Linked DNA regions of Zea mays. The protein of the gene in region 1 interacts with the protein of each later gene in a pairwise test. Links are inferred from orthologs where the notes say so. Each region holds a gene or a part of one and is shown on either strand. Other genes may lie near its edges.

Region 1 (8,973 bases):
AATTAAAATGTGATTAGTGCGACGTGTTAATGTGCATGAAATGGTTTATGATTATGTAATGGTGCATGTTTATTTATGGGTGTATACTTTATTTTTGTATGTGCGATGTGCGACTATAATAGAAGCGGACTGTGTGGTAGAGAATCCGAACTCGTTCGGGGACGACCCGCAAGACGCTGTTGAGCAAGGCAAGTGGATTCTCCCTCTGCATATTCTGTTTGTACCTATTCATTGCATATAACAACGTTTACTTTTGATATATTGCATAACTTGATGGGTTTACCTAATTAAGGATTTCCTAGATTTACTACCTGTATTCCTTGTTTAACCTGGGGAAATAATTAAGCGTTGCAGAATTTGTGCTACCGCTCAACTTAATGATTTCTTAATGTCACTCATTAATTGGTTTTAATGTTCCAAAGATTTAATTGGCAATTATGACTTTAACCCGATGGTTAAAACGATATTATTTCAAACTAATTGGAACATGGAGTGACCACCCAGGATAACAGTGCAACCACGAGTGCTATCATGGCTCTGGCTTTGGTAAATAGCTCTATATGCTTAGTGCCTAGCAACCTTACCTGAAAGATGGGCAAGAGGGGGAGCGGTAGGTGCTGGCAGCCCACGTTAACATGAGGTCGTATTCTTGGCTAAGGTACTTCACCCAGGGGGCCACCACCATCGTCTTAGAAACCTTAGCGGGTTGCTTCGTATTAAGTGTATTTTGTGAAAACCTCATAATGGATCCCTAGCCATTCACCTCGGCAGTGTCTAAGGGTCCGATCAACCCGGGCTAGATGGGATACATGGCTTGTGGGTAAAGTTGTACCACCTCTGCAGAGTGTAAAACTGATATATCAGCCGTGCTCCCGGTTATGAGCGACCTGGACTCCTCACATGATAATTGAACTTAAAGATGGACATAAATTGAGATCCGATGATCTGCCAATAATTTGCTTAAGTGGTTCCACTTAGGTGTTTTTGTTATATTCATATTCCTTTGTTTAATTTGGATATTTGGGATTCACTCTTATTAGTAAGACATGTGTTGATAATAAAATGTTGACCAACTAAAATGCTTACTGCTCAACCTTAGCCTCACCTTGTTATACCTGCATTAATTTTTCCCCCACTTGCTGAGCCCCGACCATAAGTGAGCTCACCCTTGCTAATATTTTGATCAGAGGGTGATGCTGGAGACTTTGATGGAGAATTTATCGACGAGGAATTCTAAGTCTAACGATGCGCCGGTCAACTTCCTGTGGAAGATTGCCCAGTTGTTTATTTCCGCTTTACTTTGATGTGATACTTGTTCAAGATACAGTATTTCAGATGATGTAATAAAGTATTATACTCTCTTTACGCCTTTATTGCATTGTCTTTTGATATATTACACTTGTGACGTCAACATATGTGTGGAAATGGATCCTGGCACACATATGGTATGCGCTCGGTTCTACCCCCTGGAACCGGGTGTGACAGTCTCCCTCGGCTCCGGCAGCGGCTCTAGTATCTCCATCAACCTCCCGCCGTGCAGGTCCGGACGTGGGCGCCGAAATTGGTTTTCTGGGACAGAACCTTGTGTTCGCTGAGCTGGTCTTCCCACGTAGACAATCTACGTGCTGTGAGTTGTTCGTTGTCTCACTTTTTTTACTGTTTAATTTTGTGCAATCTGCTAGTATTAAATACTTGGGTGTGATTGCACTGTTGTGGACGGATTTGTGTGCTCGATGATGATAGCGGTGTAGTTTGACAACGTGAGAGTCTGGGTTTTAGTGTATTATCATTTTCAGCATTGATATTATTTGTGCCTAATTAAATCTCTCTTTGTTGAGGCTGTTAACCTATGTTAAATTCAGTTATTTTATTTAGTACACAGCTCCTTACTATCAGCATTTATACTTGATTATTAGGCTTATTACATCAGATCTAAAACCCTGATTTGGTAAGATAGGACTGTCACGTTAGTCGAGGATCTCTTTTCACCTTTTAGCGTTGGAGGGCTGTTTATTACAGCAACCAGCTATTTTGAGAGCAATATTTTAAGATAAACAATCATGTTTATTTGTTTAATCTGCCTTCTTCATCTGCAAGCCATGTTTAATTATGAAATGGACATGAGCAGCTATTTTACATGTTTACATGTTCTAGAATTGCTACTATTCATTGCTGCAATAATTACATATGGCATTTATCCGAGTTATATGCTTGTTTTATTCGGAATTAGAATATTTAATTTATTTAAATATAAAGGAAGCATGTCACTTGTTTCTCTAATATTACAACAGTGTTTGGTTAGAAATAATTGGAAAGAAGTTATCCACGTATCCGAACCATAATTAGGCTATTTTTCTTTTAGTGCTCTCAAAACTTTTCCTCTCGCCTTTCTCTCTTTCTCATTTTAGTGATATCTTGTTGTGTTTTAATTCTAGTCTACCACAACTTATTTGGACTAAAAGGCTATGATGATATTCACGTTTATCGTTCAACATATGATATACTTTAAGTATGATTTTGAAATTTCCATTTTAGTACTATTATTAATTTTGTTAGTGATATCGTCTAGCCTACTATATATTTTAAATATAGCTTTCAATTTTTAATTTTCGTATCAAACTTAATTTTAAAAAGTTAAACAGATTATATATTGCCTTTCCACGAGTGGGTGGTGGCTGGTTGCCCCGGCACCACAGACACAGAACCCGCACCGAGCTACAGGATTCCTGGCCGAAACATATGATATACTTTAAGTATGATTTTGAAATTTCCATTTTAGTACTATTATTAATTTTGTTAGTGATATCGTCTAGCCTACTATATATTTTAAATATAGCTTTCAATTTTTAATTTTCGTATCAAACTTAATTTTAAAAAGTTAAACGGATTATATATTGCCTTTCCACGAGTGGGTGGTGGCTGGTTGCCCCGGCACCACAGACACAGAACCCGCACCGAGCTACAGGATTCCTGGCCGAAACAAGCGGCCAGGGTTGCAACAGGCTGCCACGCGCGAAAGAAAGCAAAAAGCAGAGCTCGTTTCCCCACCCATGAGCGACTGCCGAGCCGACTACTCGACTTCCTCCTCGCCCTTCCTTCCACCGCTTCCCTCCCTTCCCTTCCATCCAGCACGCCACGCTCGCCCGCAAGTCGCAACTCGCAAGGGGTAGCGCAGAGGCGGGTCGGACGGAGAGAGAGAGAGAGAGAGAGAGAGAGAGAGAGAGAGAGAGAGAGAGAGAGAGAGAGAGAGAGAGAGAGAGAGAGAGAGAGAGAGAGAGAGAGAGAGAGAGAGAGAGAGAGAGAGAGAGAGAGAGAGAGAGAGAGAGAGAGAGAGAGAGAGAGAGAGAGAGAGAGAGAGAGAGAGAGAGAGAGAGAGAGAGAGAGAGAGAGAGAGAGAGAGAGAGAGAGAGAGAGAGAGAGAGAGAGAGAGAGAGAGAGAGAGAGAGAGAGAGAGAGAGAGAGAGAGAGAGAGAGAGAGAGAGAGAGAGAGAGAGAGAGAGAGAGAGAGAGAGAGAGAGAGAGAGAGAGAGAGAGAGAGAGAGAGAGAGAGAGAGAGAGAGAGAGAGAGAGAGAGAGAGAGAGAGAGAGAGAGAGAGAGAGAGAGAGAGAGAGAGAGAGAGAGAGAGAGAGAGAGAGAGAGAGAGAGAGAGAGAGAGAGAGAGAGAGAGAGAGAGAGAGAGAGAGAGAGAGAGAGAGAGAGAGAGAGAGAGAGAGAGAGAGAGAGAGAGAGAGAGAGAGAGAGAGAGAGAGAGAGAGAGAGAGAGAGAGAGAGAGAGAGAGAGAGAGAGAGAGAGAGAGAGAGAGAGAGAGAGAGAGAGAGAGAGAGAGAGAGAGAGAGAGAGAGAGAGCCTAGTCGACTTTCCGTTTCGGGAAATTCCCGTGCCGCTGCTCGCCGCGGCGAGTGTCGCCCTTTGGATCGGGCGAATCATCCTGACCCGCGCCCCGGAACCGCAGCCAATCGGTCGCGGGAGGGGGGGCTCGTGGCGGCGCTGCGCGCGAGGATGCGCCGCGCGGGCGGCTCGCTTCTGCTGGCCTGCTGCGCCCGCGCGCGCGCGCCCGCCGCGAGGTACGAGCGCATGACTCCCCGCCGCTGAACTGAATCGGTCCTGGGCTGGTTTTCGGCTTTTGCGCGACTGGGCCCGTGCGCCGTGACCTTATTGCGCGGGCGCCGCGCGGTTTGCGCAGGGTAGGTTTGGTGCGATGGAAGGGGCGGCGGCGGCGGAGGTGGGCGGCGGCGGCGAGGATGTGCAGATCAAGGGCGCCAAGGAGAGTGGGCAGCCCGCGGCGGCGGCGCAGCAGCCGCCGCCGCTGCCGTCCGGCAGCGAGGCGCTGGAGATGCCGGCCACGCCGCTTCCGCGGGACATGGACTGGTCCGAGCACTTCTCCTTCTTCACCTCGCCGGGCGGGTTCGCGGGCAGCTCGGACGGCGCGAGGGGCCTCGCCAGCGTCGGCCTGTCCAACTCCGAGTCCAGGCCGGACAGCGTGACGCAGCGCGGCGTGGACCACGGCGCGGAAGAGAGGGTGGAGGAGCTCACATTGAAGAACTGCATTAGCGCTGATGCTGCCCAGCCCGAAGCCTCTGCTGGTGGGAGCACGAGCGGTGGGGATAGGCCTGCTGTTATTAAGGGCCTGTGGGGTAACTTCACACGGATGGCCCGGAGAACCAGCTATTTGGCCAGCAGGGAAAACGCCGCACTGAGCTATGGCGACATTGCAAGCTCGAGGGCTGGTGATGCTTCTAGCAGGGAAAATCTGGCGACGAGCCTTGCCAACAATATCATCTCAAGGAACAACGATGTGTCTGGCAATGAGGCACCTACGAGTCGTGTCGGATATGTGAATAATGAGTTCAAGACGCCATTTCACAGCCAGCAGATTCTCTTGTCCCCTTGGTCTAATCAGGACAACGCTCTTAAAGTAAGCAGCTTCTCGAATAGGATTCTTGATCAGATGAGAAGTAAGACTGTGGCACCCCCATCTGGGGTTCTAGGGTCACCGCTTAAAAGCAAATCAAAAGGTAAAGGGGTTGCATACCAACGTGCACGGGAGGAGATCCGAGTGCAAGCTAATGCAAGACCCAGAGACCCTCTGGACAAGATCCCGACAATTCCTACCTCAATTCATGATTCTGTGGCCAGAGTGGACATGCTTTTCAGTACTAGTGGAGATGTTTCAAAATCCCACTCTGAGGGAACTAGCCTGAGGGAACTGATTAAGCCTGGGCGGCAAACGATGTCCAAGTTTGAGAAATTGCATTTGTTTAAGCAGATCCTTGATCTTGTGGATAACTGTCATGCACAGGGTTTTACTTTACAACATTTGCGACCATCATATTTTACGATCCTATCTTCAAATCAAGTTAAATATATCGGTTCTTATACCACACAAGATTTGCCAACATCAATCAAACAAGAGTTTGCTAGAGAAGATCTTGTGAGTAGAAAAAGAGCTTTTGGCCATAGAATTGATTACCAAGACTCTAATGGCCATGGAAATTTGATGCTGAAGCATCAAAAGGTTGGTGAGCAAGGCTTAGTTGCTGTCAGGCGGCTGGCAAATACATTTTTGACTGACAAAATACGCGACAATCAAATTGAAGATAACGATCCAGGTATTTCAAGGCAAGAAAATTTTAGTTACACTACCAGAGAACATTTTAAGTTCGTCGAATCATATGGCAGCAATATGTCCAGTGCTCAGCATGTATCTAGTTCTGGAACCCAACAACCAGCATTTGAATTGAGGAATATTGAGGAAAGCTGGTACAAAAGCCCAGAGGAGCTCAGTCAATTTAAAGGCACACCCCCATCAAACATCTATAGCCTTGGGGTTCTTCTATTTGAGGTATATCCAGTACTTAAGTGCCATTTTTTTGCAGCAGTATCCATAATTGGATTTTGTAGAAGTGATGTGACATTGTGCAATTGCAATTTGTAGTTTTGCGGGGTGGTATATTACTATCATTTACTAGCAAATTCAAGTGGTTTACCTAAAATCTCTGAGCTGTTGGACTTCTGACATGCATAAGCATAACATGGTGTTTCCCACGTCCCACCACATTTTAAACACGAAAGATTAACATATCAGGAAAATAAAAAATGACACAGATAATCACATTAATTTTGAGATATTTATGGTCCTTTCACAATGATCTCCATTGCCAATGAAAGAATATGATAGGCATTCTGTTTTTTTGGTGCATCAGCTTTTGGAATGCTGAAAGCACTTCACTATGCAGCATATTTGCATGACACATGCACCTTATAGTGAATCTGGTTGTGGTTTCCAATTGCTATTGAGGTTCAAGACCATGGAATTACAGGTCTACGCTTGCCTTGGTTACATGTGGATGCTGACTAATGCCCTTGTTCTTACTATATCCAATTCTTATGTAGTCTCTTGTTATTATATATGAGAATTGCAGTTGTTCCACTAGCACCATGCTTGCACAGATTTAATTGCTTACTAATTGAAACCACACTTGCAGTTGGACTTCTCTACTTTCTGTGTGATTCTGTAGACTATTTTTTTTTCTGACTGAAATGTAAGATTCTATCTTAAGTCTGGCAGGCAAGGTATTTAATTAACCTAATATTTTTGTCAGCTCTTTTGCTGTTCTGAGACATGGGAGATGCACTGTGCTGCAATGTCAAATCTTCGCCAACGCATCCTTCCTCCAAATTTTCTTTCAGAAAGTCCCAAGGAGGCTGGCTTCTGCCTTTGGTTACTGCATCCAGATCCTTGTTCAAGACCAAAAGCAAAGTCAGTTTATTTATCTCTCTCATTTGGAGACATAATAAGAAAAATGTTTACTGATTAGTACATTACTTTGATATAAGTAAAGGCCAATCTTCTTCGCTTTGGTGAATTTTGTATGTTACAGTTAAGTTTAGTTAACTCTTTGTATAAGGATTACTTCTGCCATTCATTGCATGTGGAAATATGTTAGATATGGTTAATGTTATCCCTTTCGTGCCCTTCTACTTGATGTTTCTTTGCTGTTTAAAGACTGGAAATAATAATTATATTGCTGTTCGTGCCTAATAGCCAGCATACTGTTTTTTCAGAGAGATTCTTGGATGTGACTTGATAAATGAGGGTCGGGATTTGTCCTTGTTAGATAAGTCACCAGTTTCCATCAGTGAAGATGACACTGAATCTAGTTTGCTACTTAACTTCCTTTCTCAATTGAAAGAAGAAAAGGAGATGCAGGCTGCCAAGTTATCGGCAGAGCTTGGAAGCTTACAAACAGATATCACAGAGATTGACAGAAGACACTCAGCAGGAATGAGATTGAGTTTAGAGGATATGGATGTACTGCCAAGTTCTAGTTTGCCAGGAGCTTCTGTGAGTGCCCTACAGGGTGCATTGCTGTCAGGTTTGCTACCGGCATCGTGCAAGTCGAGCATATATGAGGAGAGGGTAATGAGGAATTTGGTGCAGCTTGAAAATGCTTACTACTCCATGAGGTCCTCTGTGGACACCTGTGAAACTAATGTAATCAAACGTCCAGATAACGAGGCTTTGAGGGTCCGTGAAAATTTCCATCAGCGTCACAGTGATTCTGATGCAAAGGGAGAGAAAACAGACCGTCTTGGATGCTTTTTTGATGGTTTATGCAAATATGCCCGGCACAATAGGTTTGAAGTACGAGGAATTTTGAAGAATGCAGATGTACTTAGCTCTCCAAATGTCATCTGTTCATTGAGTTTTGATAGGGATGAAGAATATTTTGCTGCTGCTGGAGTTTCAAAGAAAATAAAAATATTTGAATTTGATGCACTCTTAAATGATCGTGTTGATATTCATTACCCACTGGTAGAAATGCCTAGCAAGTCCAAGCTGAGCTGTGTCTGTTGGAACAGCTATATAAAGAACTACCTGGCATCAACAGACTATGATGGTACTGTTCAGGTATGTATCTAACTGTTTGTAATTTTCAAAATACTCATTCATCTTATCATCCATGAACAAGGTGGCATATTTTTCACCCCTTGCTTGTAGTTTTTCTATATTTATTTTATTCTGATGGCAACATTTATCCGGTTCAGATGGACTTGATCTTATATAATTTGGTGCTGCTGCTTTTGTAATGCACCAAAATATGTTGACTGGATATTGTCATTCTTATTGGATTGGTTTATGTTGCGGGCACGGATCTGTGTTCCATAAGCTGTATACTGATTTACACTTCACATATAGTTTTAGCTTCGGTGAAGCATTCTGTCTCCTGTGCCAATTTCATCTGCTTTGATGCCTTCTTTATGATTAGTATTATTATCTGAGAGGGAGCACAACTAATCAAGTATATTGATGGTTAAAACAAGTACTGTGAAGGGGGTCTTGGCTTATGGGCCTTTGTATTAGGGGATGACAAGTCTTGTCTCTCCTATGTTTTTTCTTATTAATATAATGACGCGCAGCTTTCCTGCGTTTGTTCAAAAAAAAATTGGTCAGCTTTAGGCTTGTCATTGTTTGACAGTTTGAGATTGCATTTTCTTTTGTTGAGTCCGATGCACATGTTACACTGAAAAGTTTAAGGGCTTGTTTGGGGTGGATTAGAGTTCAGCCAAATAAGGCCTAAGGAGTTGAGGAAAACAAGGGTAGTTAGTTATGTAGGCAGGCCAATAACACCATTTCATATCTAGATTGCTTGGATCTTCTAGTTACATCTTGTGAAAAGCAGCAATCCTTATCATTTAGCCTTTTTAGCACTCAACAATTCTCAATAGCGACATGTTTATTTTTTGAGCTGCTACCTTTTCAACTCATTTATAATTTTATTATGGTTTGGATACCTCTTTGCTGTTTTCTTGATACTTTGCATCAAAGAACAAAAGCCTCTATGCTATAAGCTTTATGCTCTGGGAGTTGGGCTTTGTATTATTGCCATGTTTCCTTTTATTTTTAACCATTTGGCTTCATTATTATTATCATATGCAGCTATGGGATGCTGGCTCTGGTCAAGGATTC
Region 2 (7,508 bases), on another chromosome or scaffold:
CCTCCATGGGCCTCCTTAGGCCCTGACACTACACCCCTCCTGGACAAGCAGCTCGTCCTCGAGCTGCAGCATGACGGGTGCTCAAAGACCGAGTCTACTTGACCCAAAACCAGACACCTAGAAGACAAACCTTTTACATCTCGGCTTATCTTATTATTCCGAATCTGTTTTTTTTACGCCATAAGATAAGGCGGACACCCTCCGCGCATTGGACTTGCACGTGTGCAGCCACCTGGATCCCATGGACGCCATCTAGACGAAAGGGGAGCACATGGACGGGCACCTGGAATAGGTCGCAACAATAACCAGCGGAGGCGCCCTCGTGGCGGCCGATAGCGGAATGTGGTGGCGCTAAATAGTGCGCCCTTGCCGATGACGAGGGGAGTGCCTTCCTTACCGTCGCTGCCGTAGAGTTGAAGTTCGTCGCCCGCGGGACACATACCATGCTCGCACTTGGAGATAGCGGCCCGGAGTCGTTGCTGACGGCCGTCCGATAGGGCGAGGTCACGCCCCTGTGTGCCGAGGTCAACCGTCACCAAGGCTGCCTCGAGCATCTGTCGGCGCATCTCCCGCACTCTCCGTCGTGCAAGGAAGCCACGAGCAGCAGCTTGTATGCCCACAGCCGCCGACGTCTGGAGCTGTGCGGACAACACCAGCTGGTGCTGCTCATGTTGCACTGCTACCTTGATTTGCAGCAGCCCTTACTCAACCTTCTGGAGCGTGGCTTGCATCTTTGTTAGATCAGCCCTTATGTTGGTCCACAAGTCTCCCATCGATGAAGCTGATGATTGCTGAGCCGTGGCTGCCCCTAGTGGCGTCACCCATGGGGACGGAGACGCCGTCAACGAAGATGATGTGACGAAATTTGGCGTTGTCCCTGGAGATGGGCACGCCGGCGTCCAGGATGTGGTGACAAAATTGGCAGGCGATGCTGCCCATGGAGATGGGGACACCGGTTGCCAGGATGGTGTGACGAAGGTGGCATACGGCACAGCCCATGGAGATGGGGACGTTGGTTGCCAGGACGGCGTGACGAAGGTGACATACGACGCGGTCCATGGAGATGGGGACGCCGGTTGCCAGGATGACGCCGCGAAATTGGCAGCAGAAGCCATGGGATCAGATCGAAACCCAAGCTAGCCGATATCAGATGTTATGGCCGCTAGATCGATGAGGGACTGGAGAAGGGTATCGATGGGCAGGAACGTCGGCCGGGGGCCTCTGCCCACGGCCGAGCAAGATGAGGGTTTCTCCCTTCTAATTCTTGCCTACTTTATTTCTCATCCATTGATTACATAAATAGGCCAGCTGGCCGCCCCTATCTAGCTAGGGATCCTTATCTCCTTAAAACTCTCCTAAAAACTCTCAACAAACTAACTGATAACCTTCCTAGATAATCTCAACTAATCTCCTAAATAATCTCAACTAATCTTCTAATCTTATCTCTAACTATCCTTATCTAATCTCCCTTGGAGGGCCCATGGTTGTTGCTACCGCAGCCCCTCTATGGGCCTCCTTAGGCCCTGACAGTTTAGCGCTGCAAAGATGCAGCTTTTGTGTTTAGCTGCCTGTTATTTATAACTGAAATGTTTACAAGAAAGAGTCATGCTCAAGTAAATAACAGCTGCATGTAGTGGCTCCTAGAAACTATAGCTCACAAATGAGGCAACTGACCCACTAACTAATAACTACCCTTATGCCTGGAAGCCAGGCCAACACTAACTCTGAACATAAGACTCGACACTAAGCTACAGGTTGACACTAAGTTGTCACAAACTGTAGGATTACACAAGTTTATCAGGAACTTCAGTTATGACATAATTCATAGATTTACCTTGTGTGATGATTGCTGGCACTACTCTTTTTCTGAGAAAACATGCTGACACTATAGATTCTTACTCAATATTGTTCATTTGTTAACGAAAGGATGCTCAATAGAAACAGCATAACTATTTTCTGCAGAGCTTGATGAATTCTAAAAGAAGTGTAATTGGTAGTTAATGCTAAATCAAGGCAGTTGCAGGTTAGCCTCGTCTGTTGTATTTATTAGTAGACAGGGGTTTTCATCCTAGCTGCCTAATTCTTAAAAGGGAAAACAATTGGCGCTGTCCACTTTGTATTTTTTAGTGAAAAGCGTAATTACCTTGGTCGCCTTAAATTAAATATATTGCTTCTTGTAGGTTATTAATCTGACAGGATGGGTTGCCCCTCGGACATGTGTGAGATTGATATGGCTACATTTTTTCCATTTTGTCGTCCACATATTTTTTTTACAGTCACCAACTCCCTCCAGTCTAAAATACTTCCTACCTTTGGCTTTGCATAGTCTTTAATGCTTATCTTTGACCACTAGTTTATAGAATATATTGCTAAGATCCTTGAAATTAAGATGATTGCAAATCATTATGAATACAATTCTAGATATATAACTTACCTGTTTCTATACTAAGTAATAAATTATTATTGATGTTTGTATTTTTTATGGTTTGACAAAAAGTTGTCCTACGTCATGTTTTTTGTGACTGGAGTGCCAGTTTTATTATTGGTAAACTCTTTGTTCTGGAGGACCAATTTATTTATAAAAAAAGAGGTTCTGACTTGCATTTTGTTGTATGTGAAAGTAGGTTCAGGGTCAAAAGTACGATCCGGACGGTGAATATGTAAGAACTTGGATTCCTGAACTTGCTAGAATGCCAACAGAATGGATCCATAGTCCATGGGCTGCGCCAAACTCTATATTACAAGTTGCTGGAGTTGAGCTGGGCTTTAACTACCCAAAGCCCATAGTAGAACTTCATATGGCGCGGGAATGTTTAGATGACGCCATCTCCACAATGTGGCAATTGGACACAGCTGCAAAACTTGCTGAACTAGATGGTGAAGTTGTTGACGACAATCTGAATAATATCAGGAATTTTGATATCCCAAAGGTGGTTTTGAACAAGAAATTATCACCAAGCACTTCATCCATGGAGCACAGGGTGTTGTCTACTAATGGCAAGGACGAAAAGTCGCAGCCTACTGAAGTGAAGGCCCTGTACAAACAGATTATTCGAGATGATATGATGAATGACTCAAACATGGATGACACATGCTCTACTGCTAACTTGAAAGTGACAAGGAAAAGATCTAGCAGTGATAGTGCGTTCAATGTTCCCTCATGTTCATCCTCATTAGTCATGGAATCACGGATTCATCATAATGAACCTAGTTCTGTTCTGTATTCAGGCTACTTCCAGAAGACAGCAGACAGAGATGGCACTAGTAAGGTACTCCCTCCATTCCAAAATAGTATTCGTTTTAGCTCTTAATTTTTTATATCTATATTTAACAGATGATGATAAATGAAGACACATATATAGAACTACATTAAGTATTGTATAAATCACATAAAAAGACAAAACGAATTTAGAGACCTAGATAACACAACCAAAAAATATAAAAGTATATGGACTAGAAATGTGTATGTTGAGAGTTTAAAGACTGGGATGATACAACATAACAAGTTTAAAGATCTTAGATGTGTACTTTGGGAGTTTAGGTACTGAGATGATACAACACTATAAGTTTAAGTACCGCCAGTGTATATTTATTCTATTCTTATTATAGACATCTGAATAACTCCTTACAGGTTGAAGATAATGACAGTGAAGATAGTGGTACGAGCATCTCTAGGCCATCCAAGAAAGCTGCTTAGCATTAGCGCATTGAAGATGTTGCAAATCTTCAATGAGAAATATTTACCGTCACATGTAATTTAGCTGGTGCGTTTGTAGTGATCATGCAAAAGCTGTTCTGTGAATTATAATTAGTTTTACACGGCCTATCCTTATTCCGATAGAAGGCAATTTTTGTTTGGTGAAAAAACATCGCTCACGGACAGGCCATAGTTTGCTGTCGCTGCTGAACAGCCTAATGCCTGGTGTAAATGACTCATCAACGTTACGACACTATTAGCGCTGGTTGGTTTTGCTATCAATCCGTATTCATGGATTGGGTAAGATTGAGTAGATTTAAATATCAAATAAATCAAAATGTTTTATAATTTTTTTTCAATCTCATTCAATCTACATGGGATAGAAATAACCGAACAAGGTCTAAGGGCGATTCAAATGGTTTCTTCATGACTCGTTTAAGCTCTTAATCAATTTTAGTTCAATAATAAATATAAATAGAGCTTAATACAATCTAATTCTTATATTTTGTAGCGTAAAATGTAGAGCCCAAACTTAATACCACGGCATTTAACCGCTCGATTAAAAAAAGGATAATGGGATCACACATCACATTTGCAATGAAAAACAAGAGTAAAATATACTAGTGGTTCCTAAATTTGTAGCGTTGTATCATCCTGGTCACTAAACTTACAAAGTGTATCTCTATGTTCCTAAACTTATAAAATTGTATCATCCTGATCCCTATGGATAAGCGGTAAACATTTTAGTTGGTCAATATTTTATTAGCAACACATGTCTTACTAATAAGTGTGTATCCCAAATATCCCAATTAATCAAAGGTATAAGATTATATCAATAACACTTAAGTGAAATCACTTAAGCAAACCACTGGTAGATGCTTAGATCACGATTTATTTTCCATCTTTAAGTTCAATTATCATGTGAGGGTCCAGGTTGCTCTTAACCGTGAGCACGGCTGACATATCAATTTTACACTCTGCAGAAGTGCTACAACTTTACCACAAGCCATGTATCCCATCTAGCCTGGTTTGATCGGACCCATAAACACTACCGAGGTGAATGGCTAGGGATCCATTATGAGGCTTTCACAAAATATCCTTAGTACAAAGCCACCCGCTAAGGTTTCCACGTCAGTATTGATGGCCCTCTGGTGAGATAACTTAGCCAAGACTACCACCCATGTTAACATGAGTTGCCACCAAACCACTGCCACCCCCTCTTGCCCATCTTTCAGGTATGGTTGCTAAGTACTAAGTCTATAGAGCTAATTACCAAAGTCAGAGCCATTATAGCACTCGTGGTTGCACTGTTATCCTGGGTGGTCACTCCATGTTCCATTTAACAAAAATGTTCTTGTTTAACCATTGGGTTAACATCATAATAAAACTTCATTTTTAGAACATAGTATCATTAAAAGAGTGACATCATATTTATCAAGTTGAGCAGTAGCAAAAATTGCTAAGCATAGCATTTATCCTAGGGTAATTCAGGGAATAGGGTTGGCAATTCTAGGAAATTATTATTTAGGCAAATCCCATCAAATTATGCAATATATATCCAAAAGTAAACATTATTGTATGCATTATTTCAGTACAAATAGAAATGCAGAGGGAGTATCCACTTGCCTTGCACGAAAGTGTCCTATGGATCATCCTCGAACGAGTTTGGTTCGTCTAGCTCATAGTCAACTTCTAGCATCGATTTGCGTATCGTACATAAAAAAGAATATGTACGCCAAATAAATAAACATACACCATTACATGGGTAATCATTCACCATTACATACACATTCATACATCACACAATTGTACTCATAAATATGTCTACAACGTAAATATTTATTAGTCCACTATATCTTCCATTTCGAGTTATCATCGGTGAAAATATGAGTAGGTGACTATGACACTAGTTTTATCTAGTATGATATAGATAAAAATGCCTTAACAAACTTTACGGAAAATAATTATTTTCTTTATTACTTAATAATAGTCCTTTGGGCTTTATCCTTTCCTTTCTAAATAAAAGTTATATGTATGGCTAAAAATGTTTATTTATAAATCACCTAACATTAATATTCTAAGAATTAATGTAGATTACTAATTAGACTTTGTAACATAATCATGGTTATTATGACATAAATAGATATTTTACTAATTCTAAGTAATTAAGTGCTATACTTATGAATATATTTATCATTACTAGTAAAACCTATATTTTTAATCTGACCAAAAATATGTGGCCTATTATTTATTCCACTTTATTTTATCAATAAAATTATACTTAAATCACTACTATCAAATATCGTTCCATGTGCTAAAGCAAAGTTAATCGTAAATGTTTCTAGTATGTAAATCACCAAATTAGTGAATAGTGACATTATTTTTTTTTGAAATATAAAATAATACACCTGTCCAAACTATTGTTGGAGGGCCTAGTTCAAGATTACACATATACTTTAGGGGTAGCACGTAAGGTTTTTGGACTACTTTCACATACGTTTGTATTGCAGAAAAAAATACAAAAATGATTTATAGAAAATTGGAGGGCCAAAATGCAAAACTGGTGTTCTTCTACCTTGAGCTTGTGCTCACGCGCAGGGGGGGGGGGGTCCGCGAGCAGGGGAGGGGCTCGGCTGGGCAGGGGAGGAGCAGGGGGCTCGGTCGAGTGGTCGGGGACGGGCGCGAACGGTCCGGTCGGGTGCGGACGATGGGGCGCGGCGCGGTGGAGCTCCGGCGAGTGGCGGCACAGTCCGAAGAGCAGAGCGCGAGCGCGGAGAGAGAGGAGAGCGTGAGAGAGAGAGAGAGGGAGCTCGGGTAGCGAGAGAGGAGGGATAGGGGCCGCGGGTGGGCCCAGCTTATCGGTGAGAGAGAGGGGAGGGGGAAATGGGGGCGCGCGGCTGGGCCTTAGTGGGCCAGTTTGGCCGGCTAGGGTTTATGGTTTTCCTTTTTTCTTTTCTTTTCTTTTCTACTTAAAAATATAAATAAATATATTTTTAAATAATTCAAAAATCATAATAATTATACCAAAATTATTTATAACTAAAATATTTATTTTGGACCAATATTTCTGTATTAATTAATTGGATTTTCAATATAAAAGAAATTCTACTAAACATCCATAAATCAAATATGATCAAATAAAATTACTCTAAATGCAAATAAAATCAAACACTTGAAAGAAAAAAATTCATTACCATATTTACCATTAATAATATAAATGCATTTTTTTAGTTGATGGTTTTGTAGTGTTACAACATGTGTGGGGACGGAGTGCTCCTACATGTCGTGTGTTTAGGTTTACCTTGCAAGGTTAAAACTCGATTCAAATCGTATGCTTCTCGCAGCTAATGAGACTGCTTGACCCCTTGTAGTGCACCGAGTAAGAAGTGAAATGAGGTTTCTTGAGATAACATGTTGATTGCACTAAATGATTGTTACCATGTATGCTTAGAAAGGAGCAAACCTAGCGTAAATGGATATGTTATAACCGGAAAAGCTAAAACTTGTTTTTAGACTCAGCTAGTGTTTTTGGCAAACCAAACCCCTCAGCCAAACAGCTTCATGGTCTAGAGGTAGAGGAGTAGTCTCCTCACACCGGCTAAGTCTAGCTGAGTATTAGTATACTCAGCCTTGCTTGTGGCATCACTTTTACAGGTACACTGCAAGATATGGTTGATGGTGTGACTTGGCCATCCACCCTGCCACCGGGTTGGACGGTCGAGTGGGATGTCGCCTCGGTAGGGGAGGACCAGGAGGAGTAGTGGGCTAGGCCTTGCCCTATCCCTCAATATCGATGTTATCTATTATCCGC

Evidence for each region. The genes of interacting proteins can lie anywhere in the genome.
Region 2: the proteins of protein SUPPRESSOR OF PHYA-105 1 (region 1) and uncharacterized protein LOC100277533 interact in a two-hybrid assay, tested with the Arabidopsis thaliana proteins (4 studies listed by BioGRID, with this or other methods). The link is inferred for Zea mays from reciprocal best matches to the Arabidopsis thaliana genes SPA1 and CRY2.

What each region holds. Positions count from the first base shown.
Region 1 is NC_050103.1:73,508,274-73,517,246, reverse strand, and holds the start of protein SUPPRESSOR OF PHYA-105 1, read left to right. Parts: upstream 1-3,789; 5' UTR 3,790-4,200; coding exon 4,201-5,844; intron 5,845-6,604; coding exon 6,605-6,762; intron 6,763-7,067; coding exon 7,068-7,914; intron 7,915-8,943; coding exon 8,944-8,973. UniProt on the Arabidopsis thaliana protein: Controls normal photoperiodic flowering and regulates circadian rhythms. Required for suppression of photomorphogenesis in dark-grown seedlings and for normal elongation growth of adult plants.
Region 2 is NC_050104.1:50,229,579-50,237,086, reverse strand, and holds the end of uncharacterized protein LOC100277533, read left to right. Parts: intron 1-2,624; coding exon 2,625-3,269; intron 3,270-3,631; coding exon 3,632-3,697; 3' UTR 3,698-3,974; downstream 3,975-7,508.